2 linked regions of the Elephas maximus indicus genome follow. The main gene of each other region encodes a partner of the protein of the gene in region 2 in a complex. Links are inferred from orthologs where the notes say so. Each region holds a gene or a part of one and is shown on either strand. Other genes may lie near its edges. The genes, in order: NAA15 and NAA50.

Region 1 (7,590 bases), on a different chromosome or scaffold from region 2:
TGAGTCAGTGGTTGCTTCTCAACTTCTTGGCTTCTTGTCCACTCAGCAACCTATCAGCTGTATATCCTTTTTACACCATCCTTCATGAGCTTGTCCTAACAAAGCTTTCGCTATTATCCAACAAGTTGAAACAAAAGCCGTGGTTACTCAGAGTACACAGAACGAGAAAGCAAATTACTAATTTCAGTACTGCTGTTGGTAAAGACTGTTTTGTTCTTTTTTAGAGCTTTGGTCCCTATATCCTTTTACTAGTGTATATTTTTGGAAAGTGATGAAGTATGACTGCCTTTCTCTCAGCATGTTAGAGCTGATGGAACCCTACACTTGGAGCAGGCAGCTGTACATGACACTCCATCTTGAAAAGAGTCCTAATGAAGCAATTCCAGTCAGGAACTAATAGCTGTATTTTGGCAGAAGTTGCTTCATGACATTTGTTTAAACATCTCTAGGATTTGAATGTTATAACCTTATTTATGACCTAGGCAAAGGCAGAGAGCATTGAGTTAAAAAAAATTTTTTTTGTTTTTTTTTTTGCAGCTAGAAAACCCAAGTTTAGTCCCTATTTTTCTGCTGGGAAACATCCTACTCGGCTCACACTTCCCAGGGAGAGTTTTAAAGGGCAAGAATTGAAAACAGTACCACATGCAGAGTTAAAAAAAAAAAAAGTACAAAACCACTATATACATTGTTTATTGATTTATGATTCATGAAACTAATACAGATCAAAATCAGGCTCTGAGAAGTATGGAGCTCCCAATGTATATACAACTAAAAAAAAGATGAAGTAATAGCGAAATGTTAATATTTGTTAAATCCTACTGGCAAATACATTTCTTTGACATTGTTTTTCTCTAAAATTTAAATAATTAGGCCGTAAAAGTGTCAACTGAGAGCATCTTACATATATGAAGGTTTTTCTTCAGTGGAAAAGTTATACACTGTGTATTAATTTTGTAGAATTAAAGCTTGCAAGGTAAATGATTTTTTTATTTGGAAGAGGCATTTTGACCATAAAACCTGCTGCCATCAAGTCAATTCCGACTCATAGTCATAGTGACCCTAAAGGATAGAGGAGAACTGCCCTGTAGGGTTTCCAAGGAGTAGCTAGTGGATACAACTGCCAACCTTTTGGTTAACTGCTGAGCTCTTAACCACTGTGCCACCAGGGCTCTGGGATTTTGACAAGAGTGATATGCAAATACACGGGGTGGGATGAAAGAACTAATCATTTGGCCTTGGATATGTTAACTTCCTACATAATATCATTCACAGCATAACTCAAGTTAAATGGGATTTCCATTTGTCAAACAGTGGTGATCAGAGTAGATATTTATTGTTGATTGCAGGCTATCAAGTCACTAGACTGTGTGGTCAGGCTGAGATTATCTGTGGGCGCATTTTAACTAGAATATGAATCAGATAAATGTTGAACCAGATTAGCATTCTAATCTGGTCCTAAAAATTGCTATTATCATCCAAAAAGAATAACATTTGCCAAACTGTATTACTGACTCATCTATTCAGGTACTCAACTTCTGGTAGAAACTACAGTTTGTTTCAAAGGCCAGGAATTCTCTCCCTACAAAGGGGAAAATATTATACAGGAGAAATTTCAAAAAACATAGCAAGTAATATTGGTGTAAGAATTTTTGGATATGAAGCCAGAGATTTGGAAACCCAAATTAGTAGCTAAGCTAAAATTATCACCTGTAGTTGAAACATTTTTCTAACTTATAATAATTCAGATACATTTGACTGAAAGTTCTCTTGGGGGCAGTGAAGTTTGCAGCTTATCACTAAATTGGTGTTGTGTGTCATCTATTCAATTCAATAGCGGCCCTATATAACAAGAGTACAACTGACCCGCAGGGTTTCCTATGCTGTTACCTTTATGGGAGCAGATCGCCAGGTCTTTTCTCCCACCAGAGTGAACCGCTGACCTTTCAGTTTACAGCCAAGTGCTTAACCATTGAGCGACCAGGGCTCTTTATCACTTAATAAATGCCAGGACAAGATGGGACATGGGAGGGAGAGGAGCCAAGAAAAGGAAACAGGGAAAGAGGGGCTTCCAAGGAGCTGCCAGAGCAGTTGTTGTTCGTTGCCAGCTAGTTGATTCTAACTCATGGCAATCCCATGTGTGCAGAGTGGAATGGCTCCATAGGGTTTTCAAGGCTGTGACTTTTGGGAGCACATCACCAGGTTTGTCTTCCAAGGCACCTCTGGGTGGGTTTAAACTGCCAATCTTTTGGTTAGCAGTTGAGCATTTAACTGTATGTGCCACACTCAGGCTCCTACAGACCAGTTAGTGACTACTTCGTTCCCCCATAAGAGCCCCCAGCATAATGCAACCCCTTCCTCAACCCCATCAAAGTGAACTGGAGCTCACAACTCAAGAGCCCAGAACAAAAAATAAAAAAAGTTGAGGGTAAATATGTATAGTATGATTCCATTTATGTAAAAAAAAAAAAAATCCTCAGAACAAAACACAAACTGGCCATATTCTAAAACTCAAACATGGTTTGTGTAGATTTAATCTTCTTAATGAAACTTTTGAAGAGAAATGACAAAATTCAGAGAAATCCCACGATTTGAATGTTAAAATCCTATGACCCAGGCAAAGGGAGAGGGCATTTGAGATAGCAGCTAGAAAACCCAAGTTTTAGTCCCATATTCTTACTCAACTCACACCTTCAAGGGAAGATTAGAGCAAATTGAAAATCCAAACCAAACCCGTTGCAGACGAGTGGATTCCAACTCAGCGACCCTAGAGGACAGAGCAGAACTGCCTAATAGGGTTTCCAAGGAACGGCTGGTGGATTCGAACCACCAAACTGATCACCATTTAGTTAGCAGCTCAGCTCTTAATCACTGCGCCACCAGGACTCCAAGGTTAAAACCCAAAACACCAAACCCGTTGCCGTCAAGTTGATTCGGACTCATAGCGACCCTATGGGGCAAAGTAGAACTGCCCCATAAAGTTCCTAAAGAGCACCTGGTGGATTCAAACTACCCACCTTTTGGCTAGCAGCCATACCACATAACCACTATACCACCAGGGTTCCCAAGTTGAAAACAGGTCTATGTAAATAAATAAAAGGCAAAACCACTACATGTATTTTTCATTGTCTTGATGCAAAGAAAGCTATAGATCAAATTCAGGATTTGGAAAAAGATAATCAAAAGCCAAGGGTAAAAATGATGTGAAAAAAATGGAAATAACCAAAGAAATGCCACTTTGATCAATATTTTACTGCCAGTTGTTCATGAAATGGCATCTACACATTGCTTATATAGAATCAATAAAAGGGATCCTATTCAGTATCTAATCTGACCTCGTTAATACTGGTGGCGTAGTGGTTAAGACTTAAGGCTGCTAACCAAAAAGTTAGCAGGTCAAATCCACCAGGTAGGTGCTCCTTGTAAACCTTATGGGAGCAGTTTTTTTCAGTATCTAATCTGACCTCGTTAATACTGGTGGCGTAGTGGTTAAGACTTAAGGCTGCTAACCAAAAAGTTAGCAGGTCAAATCCACCAGGTAGGTGCTCCTTGTAAACCTTATGGGAGCAGTTCCACTCTATGCTGTTTGAATTGACTCCATGGCAAGGGGGTTGTTTTTTTGTTTGTTTGCTTTAGTCTGACCTTGCCCCTGCAGTTCTGCTCTCTAGTATCCTTGCCAGATACTCATCAGGATTCTGGTGGTGAGGAGTTCAACTCGGCACTAGCTTGAGGCCAGCCAGTTCCAGAGGAGTCAATGTCGCTGAGCTCTCTACTACCCAAAGTACCGCATACAGTCCGCCAACACTGCACTGTATGGCCTCAACGTGCAATAAAAACACCTGCTATCAACTTCAAGATCGCTGAGTCGGAGTCGACTCGAGGGCAACGGGTTTGATTTTTTTGGTTTTTAACGTTCAGAAGCTCCTTTGAAAGAGCAAATATGGCACGTAGGATCTGGCTAACTACCTCTCTAGGCTCATCTTAAGCAATATTCGCCAAATCAACCATACTCATTTAATCAGTCAAGCTCTTTCACACCCTTCAGACTCTACTTAAGCCCCTTTCCCTTGACATCTGTTCACAAGTCCCACTGCGTTGACGCCTTCTCCATTTCCCCTCCGTCCGTGCTCCTTAAATATGCACTTTCACGTCCACAGCTCTTCTTAAACACCTGCGTTTTAGCTAGCACTTACGGCTCACATTCGGATCCCACAGTCTGGGAGAGTCTACCTAACGAATGAGAGGCCAACCTAGTGCAGAATGGCTATTTTTCATGTGAAGGCGGTCGCAACCGGAGTTAGCCCCTGCCCTTCTCTCCCCCGGCTCGTCCGGACATTCGGCACCAACAGGACGTGCTGAGCCCGCGGCGACCCTCGGGCCCCCCGCCCTCAGGCCGGCGTCCAGGTTTCCCGGCAAGCTCCAGGGCAGAAGAGGTGGGGCAAGGAGGTCATCGCGCCTGCGTGCTAGGAGGCGTGACCCGGGTGGGAAAGCCCTCTGCGTCCGCCATTTTGGCTGCCTCTGTCGGTCTGTTCAGTTACCACGTGAACCGCCGACAGAGACCCGTGGGGCGGGGGGAGGCGGCAGCAGCGTTAAGTGAGAAAAGGAAAAAGACAGCGACGGGAAAGGGGTGTCCGGTTAGGGCGACGTGGCGATACCCAAGGCTTAGGGGCGGCGGCGGATCGTGGTATTCTAGGCTGAAGCAACCAAGGAACGGCGGCGGCGGCGGCGGTCGGACAAACAGCCTGACCGAGCCGGGTGGTGGCGGGAGCAGCGGGAGGAGCCGGAACGATGCCGGCCGTGAGCCTCCCGCCCAAGGAGAACGCGCTCTTCAAGCGGATCTTGGTAAGTGCGAGGCTCCGGACAAGCAGTGGGTAGGGTTTAGCTCGAACCCGGCCCTGTCACTCCTAACATCGGCCCGGCGGGCACCGAGCCACCCCGTCGGGACTCCGCCTTCGGACTCCTAGTCCGACCGAAGGCACTCCCTCGTTGCCTCCCTCTGGATCCCACTTGGGCCCCCGCGCTGGCACCACAGGCTACCCTGTCGTCCCTTCGCTTCGGGGGCCCTGGTTCTAGACTAGGCCCGACCTACCGGCTTCTAGAGTGCCGGCTTTCCTCGGCTGCGGGCGCAGATCGGCGCCGCCCGGCCTGGAGCTGGGCAGCGGGCGGCACGGACAGGAGCCGCGGCCCGGGTGGTGCGGGAGCCCTGCCACCAGGCCGGGGCATCCGTGGAAGGAACAGGTGGCGCCGACGCAGCGCGGCTCATTCATTGCCTAAGCGCGGCGCTCCCTGGGTCGTCCCTCCCTCCCTCTTCCCTTCTCTTGGGATTCACCTGTCCCCGCCCGGCCGGGTCACTGAACGAGGTGTGAGGGGAGGAAGGAGTCCAGCGGAGGAGGGGAAGACTCGCGAATGACTGCCTCCAGCAGTTGGTTGCACACTTCAGACTGCTGCTCCTTGGCCTGTCTTGTTCCCTCCTTTCTGGAGTAAGGGAAGAGCATTTATTTCTTAGTTTCCGAGCGGGAAACAGCCGCACCCCATCACCCCTCGGGAGGTGGGGCCCATCGCGAGGGGGCGGTCCGGTAGGAAGTAAAAAGTTATCAGTCTTTAGTACTAGACACAGACTTTTCAAGTGTGTAACGCTGGGGAGAAAACTTAGCATCAGAGAAAAGAGAATGTGAGAACTTTTGCGATGGAGCTTGTTTAGTTAGGCTAGCTCAAACATATTTCCTACCTTTCTAACATGTTCAGTTTGCCTTTTTAAAAAAACCTTTAACGCAATGATGTTTGGAGGACTGTTAACATTGTCGTGTGGCCTGTAGCCTTGGCGCTATAATTAATACATTGTAGCATGTTTTTTGGCATTTTAGCGTGTGGGTTGCCCTTTTCATGCAAACATTTTTTTAATGAAAGAATTAACTGTATTTGCGCAGCTTAAGACTTAAAATTTGGGGCGTGTGTTATAGAAGTGTTAGTTTTCTCTCCTATAATTAGAATTTATTTTATTTGTTTGAAAAAAATGGAAGTACTTTGGGGATTCAGTTTTCCTACAAATAAAAAAGTGATCTATGTCGAACTTTGTTATTACAAAAATATCCATGTGCCCAATATATCTAGTTAATTCATGTTGAAAAACATGAGCAAGTCATGTCTAAAACTGTGTAACTCTTGATTAACTTGAAATCCTTATTTTTTCTTTTAGGACTAAGTGGAGTGTAGGTGGAACTGTTGCATAGTTTTACAACATCAGTTTATTTACTTTTAAACATTTTAAAAGACTAATTGACTAATTGGTGTGTAGGACTATTTAGGATAGCTTTAGGAATTTTTAGGATAGCAATTTATCTTTAATCTCCTCCAACTCTTTATATTGAAAAAATTCAAACTGAAAAAGGAAGAGTGCAAGGAACACTCATAAGTCTTTTACCTAAGTTTAATAAACATTTTGCCATATATGCTTTCTTTCCTTATATATGTAAAACATATAAGGTGCAGACATAATACTTCATCCCATAATATTTTAGCAAACTTCTCCTAAGAAGGACATTTTCCTGTTTAACTGTAGTACCATTAACAATTATTCCCTGTATTGCCTAATATCCAGTTGGTATTCAGATTTTCACATTTGTTTGGGTAGCACTTTTTTAAAATAAAACTATTGCAATAGTTGTACATTCATACATAGTCATAAGAAATAATATCTTTTAATCTTTACCCAATTCCCCCCAATACTGATGCCTTCCAAAACCGTAGTTCAATGTCACAACATTGATACAATCTACCAAATCTTATTCAGATTTCCCCAATTTTACTTGTGCTCATTTGTGTGTATTTAGTTTTGTGCAGTGTTATCACATGTAGATTCTATACCCACCACTGCCACAATCAAGATACATATAACAGTTCATTCGGCTCAAGAATCCCTGTGTTGCCTTTTTAGAACCACAACCACCTCCCTCCCACTCCCTTTGCCCCTCAACCTCTGGCATCCACTAATCTGTTCTCTATTTCTATAATTTTGTCATTTTAAGAATGTTTAATAAAAGGAATCATACAGTATATAACTTTTTGGAATTAGCCTTTTTTTATTCAACACAATTGCCTTGCACTTCACCCAGGTCGTTGTCAGTATTGATAGTTTATTCCTTTTTATTGCTGATTAGTAGTCTCTGATATGGATGTACCACAGTTTGTTTAACCAGTCATAGGGTAGCAAGTTTTGATTAAGCATCTAAAGCAATAATTTTAGTTGTGAAGGAGGGTAAAAGCTTTAAATTCCTTGCTAAAATCAAAGTGCTAAAAAATTTATTGTGATAAAAAAAATTTATTGTGATAAGGCATATGCAAAAGATAAAGAAGTTCTGAGAAATTTGAAAATCAGTAAATGAAGAAAGGGGAATATAATGTCCTTATTGATCTCTTACATTAGAAATGAAGAAAATGTTACTAACCGAAAGGATAGTTAGCATTTGCTTTTCTGAAAGCTTCTGCTTCGTCAGCTTTTATAGTAATTTGTTATGTTTTTAAGCTCCCCCCCGCCCAATAATCAGAAAAACTGGACATACCCTGTTGTTTGTTGTTGTTAGGTGCCATCAAGTC
Region 2 (8,094 bases):
CTTATCTAGGAGTTAGTTCATCTGGGACTATTTCTAGAAAATCACCTCAAAATTTACAGTTGAAGACACAATTCTAGGCTCCCAATTAGTCATGTTCCTCATTCATAAAAACAAGCAACCTCAATACAAAAGTCTCCTAACAGATCTCAAACTCTAGGACGTAAAAAGCCTAGGAACTGGGCTTAAGGACTCTCCACGTCAAGTAGAGCTTCTGTCCTGAGGTACAGGATTCAGTGACTATGAGTTTCCTCTAAATTTGGCCAGTTACTCGTTTTGGGGGATCTGGCCCATCAGACTAGCAGGCTCTTACACCTAAGTATCCGTTTTAAATAACAGAACAATTGCTTTGCGGGTTTATATTAATTGAAAATAGAATATGAATAATACTGTTTCGTCACATCTATTGCCAAGTTAAAACCCAAAAACCCAGTGCCGTCGAGTTGATTCCATTGCCAAGTTAGGTATCAAAAATAATGTTATACCCTAGCGAGTCTGAGATAGAGCAAAGAATTTGTATCTAAACATTCAGAATGACTTCTTAGAGTCCTCCTTTTACTAATCTGTGGCAGTCTCACGCTGGGAACTCTCTGGCCCCATTTTAATTAACAGAAGATAAATATGTCTGGCAATGAGAATACAAAAACGAATGAGACAGCACCCACACTCAAAATGCCCAGTTTACTAAGAAAAACAAATTCTCCCAACGTTATTGTGGATCATACATAAAACAGCCTAACTTCGTAGATCATGATTCAAGGGCAGCCAACATTTCCTATGCCCCTCAATTAGTTTCCTGATTAGAACTCTTTACCACGGTGTGTGAGAGACAGGTACCCCTTGCTTTTCAAAAGTTTGCTTTACGCCACTTTGCTTTTATGAAAGACCTTACTTAGCACCTGTCTTCATTCACTTAATGAAATGTGAAGACATTTTCGCTTTTCCAAAAAAAGGCGAAAAGCAGAAGCAGCGTTCTAAGTTTGTCTTGCACTGCCCAGCCACATCCAATGGAATGCCTGGTGCGGTATAAACGTACCATTCACAGCGAGATCCCATCCTCGACTTGCCGCTTGTGCATTTCTCTAAGTGTAGGGCACATCCTTCCACACGTGCGGTTAGTACAAATCCAGCTCTTCTGGGGGATCTGAACCCCAGCCCTTCAACCCAGCCCCGTGTGCCATTGCTAGCTAGGATTAAGAGGGCTCCCATCACCAGCACCACCTCAGCCTTCCAGGGTGCTTGCTGTCTTCCCAGTCTGGTGTACACGTCACTTCTGCTGTATACAGGCTGTGTATTTATTTATCACATCATTCCCGCTTTACTGCGTGTTACTGCCATTTTAGATTCTACATGTTACTAGGTACGATCTGGTAGGTTATTCTTTGGGTCTGGGAACGCTCAAAAACTTTTTCTCCATAAATTAATGAGAACTGCTCCTTTGCTTTATGCCTTTTCGGCTTATGAAAAGTTTCCTGGGAATGCTCCCCTTCTCGAGAGCTGGAAAACCTGTAATGCAGGGCCTGTGACAATTTCTTCATGATGTCCAAGCTTTAAAGATTTTATACGAGATTCCTTAGAAGACAGACATTTACAGTCATTCCTCCAACGGCTCCTGAACAGTCTGAAAAGCTCCACTAATGCAAAACACATTACAATTCTTTCACTGATTTGCTCCGAGAAAAAATAAACTCAGGCATCCCGGGAAGCTTTTCACACTTACAAACTTCTCTTTCTTCCTCTGAGGAGGGTAGAGAGGGCCAGCTCCGAAACAGCGAATCTAGACCACGTTTCCAAACAGGCACACTATTATGCAATTGGTATTTTTTAACAGCATAAAACTTAATGGAGGAGACATTTTATCCAACGAGAGAAAGTGGAGAACCAAAATAACCCTGAGTTTTATCTGAGAGAGAAAAACTGTAGAAGGACAGGAACGGAAAACACATCAGCTTGGCCAACCACCTGAAGAGCGCACCATAACCCAGGACCCCCCCTCCCCCGCAGAGGCCAAAGTGAACTCCTGAAGCAACAGCCCAGGACCCCCCCAGCGGGGGCCACAGTGAACCCCCAGCAGAGACCACAGTGAACGCCTGAAGGAACCCAGGACCCCACCCCGCACGGCCCACAGCGAACTCCTGAAGCAACAGCCCAGGACCCCCACCCCCAAGCAGGGGCCACAGTGAACTCCTGAAGCAACAGCCCAGGACCCCCCCCCCCGCCAAGCACGGGCCACAGTGAACCCCCAGCAGGGACCACAGTGAACTCCTGAAGGAACAACCCAGAACCCCCCCCACAGCAGGGACCACAGTGAACTCCTGAAGCCACAGCCCAGGACCCCCCCCCCCAGCAAGGGCCACAGTGAACTCCTGAAGCAACAGCCCAGGACCCCCCCCAGCAGGGGCCACAGTGAACCCCCAGCAGGGACCGCAGTGGACTCCTGAAGCCACAGCCCCACCTGCTGGCCAACCCCGCTTCCTGAAGCACCTCTGCACCCCAAGTCTGCCCGGCTTGCGCGCCTCCCCCGCCTCCCCTCGCGCTGACCCAGCCCAAATCCAGTTGAGTCACCAGGTCTTCATTCTCGCCTCCACGCTTCTTACTCCCATGCCCCCTCCCTCCAGAAGGTTCTGCGCGCCTCTCAGGTGCGGATAAACGCACGAGGTGTCCGGGACCAGCCCGGATACGGAGGACGATCCACCAGCCACCTGGATCGGCGCGTCCGGCCCAGCCCGGCGGCTCGGCAGTCCGCTCCGGGTGAGGGGGCCGCGGCGCCCCACGACCCCTTCTCCCTGCTGCCCCGCCAAGCCACACTCGTCCTCCGGGCCGAGGGCCTGGGCCCCCGCGGCTTCCCCCGCCGACTCCCGAGCCCGCCAACACGGAGAACCTTGCCTCCGCCCCCCGGCGGCGCCCCGAGGCCCGGCCTCCGCCGCTACCTTCCTCACCCTTTCATCTTCCCCGCCTGCTGAGGCCGTCGTTACCGCCGACGCCAACACCGCCGCCGTCGCCGCCGCCCTGAGCTCTCCGCGCCCTCGGCTCGGCCACTCAAGCCCACCAGCCTGCCTCCTCGCCTGAGGCAGGGAGCTGAGCGGGTGACGGAGGCCGCGAGAGGCGACCGCGGCCCTGGGTCTGCCGCCGCCGCCGCGCCGGGCCGCTGCTCCTCCGCACGTGCACACCGGGCGCTCGGCTCCAGCCCGCCGCCGCCAGCCAGACCCGCCGTCGCGCCGTGACCTTTCACCCCGCCCCTCGGCGCGCAGGCGCGCTCACAGCCCTCGCGCAGGCGCGCTCACCGCCTCGCGCGCAGCCGCACCGCGCGCCGCCGCGCACCCAGAACCCCTCGCGGGCCCTCCATCTTTCGACTGGGCTACGCCTTCTTACGTCATTCTCCCCCGCCCACTCCTTACGCCGCTCTTTGTGGGCTTGGCCTGTAGGCCCGGGCGGTCAAATCCAGATTTTTCCACCTCTCCCTCGCCTCTCCCGCTTCCACAAGCTCGCTCTTCCCCGACCCTGTTCTCAATGGGTAGTCTCCGGAGTGACCTTCAAATGCCCCTGTCTCCTAATGGGATTTTATCAGGCGGTTCTAATAAATGTAAAGAAGTCCGTGGGGAAGCTTAAGTAAATGAGGCGCTTGTAAAACAAGGAAACGTAATTAACAAGCGGCCAGATAACTTGGCATCCACCCAGCACTCTCGTTTCGAAATCACGTGATTGGCTCAAACCTCGCGGCCTGGGATTTTACCGGCGGGCCCCAGAAGGACGGAACTCCATCGCCATTTCCGGTCCCGAGATCGTGGCGTGACGTCACTTCCTTGGCAATGCCCTTTAACCCGTGCCACCCAGGCTTCCGCCTTTGCACTTACAACACGATATTACTGAAAATTTTTGTTTATTATTATTTTTTTTAATCGCAAGAAAAGTCACATTCAAACAATCTGCAAAAATACAGGCCTCCGAGCTGCGGCGCTCGCGGGTGGGGGCGACGGGGCGGGGCTTGGGTCACGTGACGGGCTAGCCCCGCCCCGCTCTGCAGCTGAAGACTTCCCCTCCCGCAGTGACAGAGCCCGCGGGTCGGTGGTCGGCACTGGTCTGTGCGCCTCGGGCCCGGCAGGTGAGTGGTGACGGGTAACGGGCGACTAGGTGGGAAGGAAGGAGGGAGAAGGGGAGCGCGAACGGCAGCCTTCGGTGCCCGGGGCTTTTTTCCGCGCTGTCACCCCTGCTCCGCCAGCTCTCCTGATCCCCTCTGTCCACTGTGGCCGCCCCCACTACCTGGGGTTGCCATGTCCACCTTGCCCGGGGTTGAGGATGAGGGCAGCCTTAGGGTTTCTTATCGGGAGTCCTCGAGGCTTCTGGCACTGGGATTGCTTCAGCCGTTCTTCGGGGTCTGCTGTAGCCGCCGCGGGTCCCAGGACCCAAAACCCAGCATTGGGCGAAGGTCTTGAATCGGCTTTACCCTCAGCTGGCTAAGAGAGGAAGTAGGAGAAGCCCTGGAGGCAGAGGCGTCTCCGGTGAGACCGGCTTGGGAGGGGATGTCACTGGTATGGCTCTCAACTGCGGAGTCACTGAAGACCCTGCCTTTTGAATGTGATTTCTCTGTAATTTTGAGGCTTTTATCTGCCATCCCTGCGGGAGAGGTTCTATAGGTTTTCACGTGCTTTGGGTGGGACTGGAAGGATAAAAGCAAGTTTTGATCTTTCTCTTCTCTGATTTTATGGTGCAGGTAGGGAGGGAGGACGGTTAAAAAAAAAGATACATTAGTTTCAAAACAGGAGCCCTGGTGGCGCAGTGGTTAAGTGCTCGGCTGTTAACCGAAAGCCCTGCTGCAGCTCAAACCCACCAGCCCCTTAGCAGGAGCAAGATGTGATATTTAGTCTGCTTCCGTAAAGATGTACAGCCTTGGAAATCCTCCGGGGCGGTTGTACCCTGTCCTGTAGGGTTGCTGTGAGCCGGTATCGACCGGACCGGTAATGGGTAGCCTCAAAAGGAGATGATGGTAATGCGGCAGTCTCAATTGAACGGAGAAGTGTTGAAAGATGGTGTTGCAACGTCGTGGTGTGTAGGAAGCTCACGCCAGCCTATGGGAAAAGGTTTCCCTGGAAGGGGAACCTTCCGAAACTGGTGGGGCTGAAAATGGAATATAATTAAACCAAGCTTATTTGACTGTGGACTTAAAGGTAGGAAGGTTAAGTCAAGATGTTGCTGACTGCGTTTTACTTGCCTTTTGACATCTTTCTCTTTTGTCATTTGTCCCTGAAATTCTGTATAATTGCTACTCCTCATCAATTCCTTGACCAGTGTTGTGGTCATTTTAATGAAGTAACCCTTGTATCCTTTCTTAGCTTTCCCCATATGTACAACTCGAGGTGACCTGGTCAGGTTTTAATAATGGTATTTTGTGAAAATACAGGAATTGTTTTGCCTAGGTGTTTGCCCAACCAGCGTACTCCCATTTCACATGGAATGTCGTAGGCAATGTTTTGTCCCCAAACACTGTGCTTCAGGGAACAGTGCTTTTCAGTTTGAGGTTAAAAGCCTTTATTTGTCCTGCAAACTCAGAAAGCGCCTTGGTCCTTTTAAATCGACAGGCCTTCGGAAAACTACAAGTTTAATTTTTTTTAACTGACACTGTTTCTTTGTCTGAAAAATCCATATTCTCAGTTAAATCCGGTAGCTTTCAAACCAATGTAAGTGACTCAAAGGACAGCTGAAAAGTGAGGAGGGGCAGAGTCCTTGTGTGGTGGATGTGACTGACCCGATTTTTGTTTTTCTGTAACTTCCAAGTTCTCTGCCATAAACTGGTCTTATTTTGTTAAGAGCAACAAAAAGTTAATTAAAATTTTTGAATAATAGCAATTTCATAAAATGTTGTTAGAGTAAGTTCAAAATAGAAAAGCTCCTTACTAGAAAACATAACCTTGAAGATCTTACTTTTTTCTCCTGGTTAAGGAGCCCTGGTGGTGCAGTGGTTAGGCACTCAGGCTAGCCACCAGCCTGGTTAGCCACCAGGGCTCCTGCATAAAGATGACGGCCCTGGAAACCTTACTCTGTCCTGTAGGGTCACAATGAGTCAGAATTTGACTCTATAGCACCAGATTTTCTCCAAGTTATAAAGAAGACCTCTGTTGTCCCTTGGGTATATACAATTCTAGCATTTTGTAGTTGGCACCTGTATTGGACAATAGCATTTGTCTACTGATATGCTTAGGTAGCTGTGCCTGCTGTTTACACTCAATTAATCTCTGTGGTGGTTAGTGGCCATCAAGCCTGTTCTGACTCATGGCGACCCATGCGTGCAGAGTAGAATTGCTCCATAGGGTTTTCAAGGCTGTGACCACTCAGAAGCAGATTGCCAGGGACTCCTAGCCATGCTTGCTACCAGTGTATAGTTTTATCCGTTAATTTCTTGCAGATTGAGACTTCCCTGATCTGTAGAGGACAGAAAAGAATAAAGTGTTACTTTATTGCTCAGGTGACATTCCACCAAGTGAAGAGAATTCCTTAGGTGGTCTGGAAGGTTCAAACCAGTCCTGTCTGGATGAGTCCAAAACGGGAGAGAGAAAATCAGCTAAAACCTTTGAGTACTAGAGGAAGAAAATGTATCAATATGAAAGAGGTTGAATGAGTCTGCAATTTTACTTCACAATTCCCCAAATTTTAGGGAACTTATGAAAGTAATGGAGCCCTAGTGGCACAGTGATTAAGTGCTTGGCTGCTAATCTAAATGTCAGCAGTTCGAACCCACCAGCTACTCAGCAGGAGAAAAGATGTGGCAATCTGCTTCCATAAAGATTACAGCCTTGGAAACCCTATGGGGCAGCTCTACTCTGTCCTGTAGGGTTGTTATGAGTTGGAATCAACTTGACGGCAATAGGTTTCATTTTTTGGTTTTATGAAAGCAGTAATATAAACCACTAAAGAACCTGGGGAGTAGCAGTGGGAATCGGTGAGTAAGTTGTTGCTAAGGTTGAATGTGAAAAAGAGTTTTTGACGTACACAGTTGACGCACACACACAAACATACTAGTCATTTGGAGCTTGGAAGACATTTCTGAGGCTTAGCTTGTGAGTGTTACACACAGAAATCTTCACGTTCATTAGAAACGGGAATTGTGCTGCAGTCTGACATTAAATGGCACACAGGAGTTTAATAACTCTTGTGGTCTTACTCTGAAGTCTGGAATTTCACTGTCTTTGGGAATTACCACCACCAAGAATGCTGTTCCCACCCCCGTGGGCAGAGCTATTCACTAAGCCCTATAGACTGCTATGTAGTGTTTTCTGTTCCTCTATAATAGCTTAACTGGGCCGTTCCTCACTAAACCATAAAGCGCCTAAGTGTTCCAGGATAGTGTCTTTACTTTTGTGACTTTAGCACCAGAATGCTAACGTACCTGATCAAAAAAAAAAAGAAAAGCTAAACCTGTTGCCCTTGAGTCGATTTTGACTCCTGGTAGGTAACTACTTGTATGTCAGAGGAGAACTGCACTCCATAGGGTTTTCAGCAGCTGGAAGTAAATTGTTAGGCCTTTCCTCTCAATGCGGCTGGGTGGATTTGAACCATGGACCTTTTAGTTAGTAGCCCAGGGCAAACCATTGGCGCCACCCAGGGACCTGACAGGTACTCAGTGAATTGTTCATTGAACGAGTGTTGGAGAGTTGGACAAGGAGATTAAACCATTTTAGCACTTGGCAGATCATAGCTCCTTCTAAGATTGTACAGTAGGTAATTAGCCTTCAAATAAAAATTAGTAATAATGATCAATCCTCAAATGGACTTTATTCATGCAGTGACGAATTTTCTTGTTTTGACACCATATATGTTTATTAATATAGGTGGTTATCATCCAGGTATGGGAAGGAAGGGAAGAGGACTGAGTTGGACTCAATGAAGAAAGTGACTCTGAACATGGTACAAGTGTTCTAATACTTGCCTAGAAGATAATCTTCACTCAGCTTTAGTTACAGGTCCTTTTAAGTGAAGTTGGGGGTGAGGCCCTACTTCTCAAGGGTATTGTGAGTTCAAGACAGACCTCTTATAATCTGTGTGAAACTAAGTTCTGCAAATATAAAGCAACAGTGTGCAGACTTTACCAGAATGGATTTCCCA

Evidence for each region.
Region 1: the proteins of NAA50 (region 2) and NAA15 are in contact, whole or in part, in a cryo-EM structure (PDB 6PPL), measured with the Homo sapiens proteins. The link is inferred for Elephas maximus indicus from reciprocal best matches to the Homo sapiens genes NAA50 and NAA15. Residues at the interface, in NP_079422.1 of Homo sapiens: Arg5, His14, Asn15, Lys17, Gln18, Arg21, Leu22, Val25, Phe51, Asn52, Ile54, Ala55, Leu80, Pro82, Tyr83, Leu86; in NP_476516.1 of Homo sapiens: Pro369, Pro370, Thr371, Leu374, Ser403, Thr404, Pro405, Thr406, Leu407, Ile408, Phe411, Glu433, Ala436, Leu437, Asp438, Thr439, Ala440.

Annotation. Positions count from the first base shown.
Region 1 is NC_064823.1:3,977,852-3,985,441, reverse strand, and holds the start of NAA15 (N-alpha-acetyltransferase 15, NatA auxiliary subunit), read left to right. Parts: upstream 1-4,489; 5' UTR 4,490-4,785; coding exon 4,786-4,839; intron 4,840-7,590. UniProt on the Homo sapiens protein: Auxillary subunit of N-terminal acetyltransferase complexes which display alpha (N-terminal) acetyltransferase (NAT) activity. The NAT activity may be important for vascular, hematopoietic and neuronal growth and development.
Region 2 is NC_064819.1:2,646,266-2,654,359, forward strand, and holds the start of NAA50 (N-alpha-acetyltransferase 50), read right to left. Parts: upstream 3,244-8,094; 5' UTR 2,945-3,243; coding exon 2,937-2,944; intron 1-2,936. UniProt on the Homo sapiens protein: N-alpha-acetyltransferase that acetylates the N-terminus of proteins that retain their initiating methionine. Has a broad substrate specificity: able to acetylate the initiator methionine of most peptides, except for those with a proline in second position.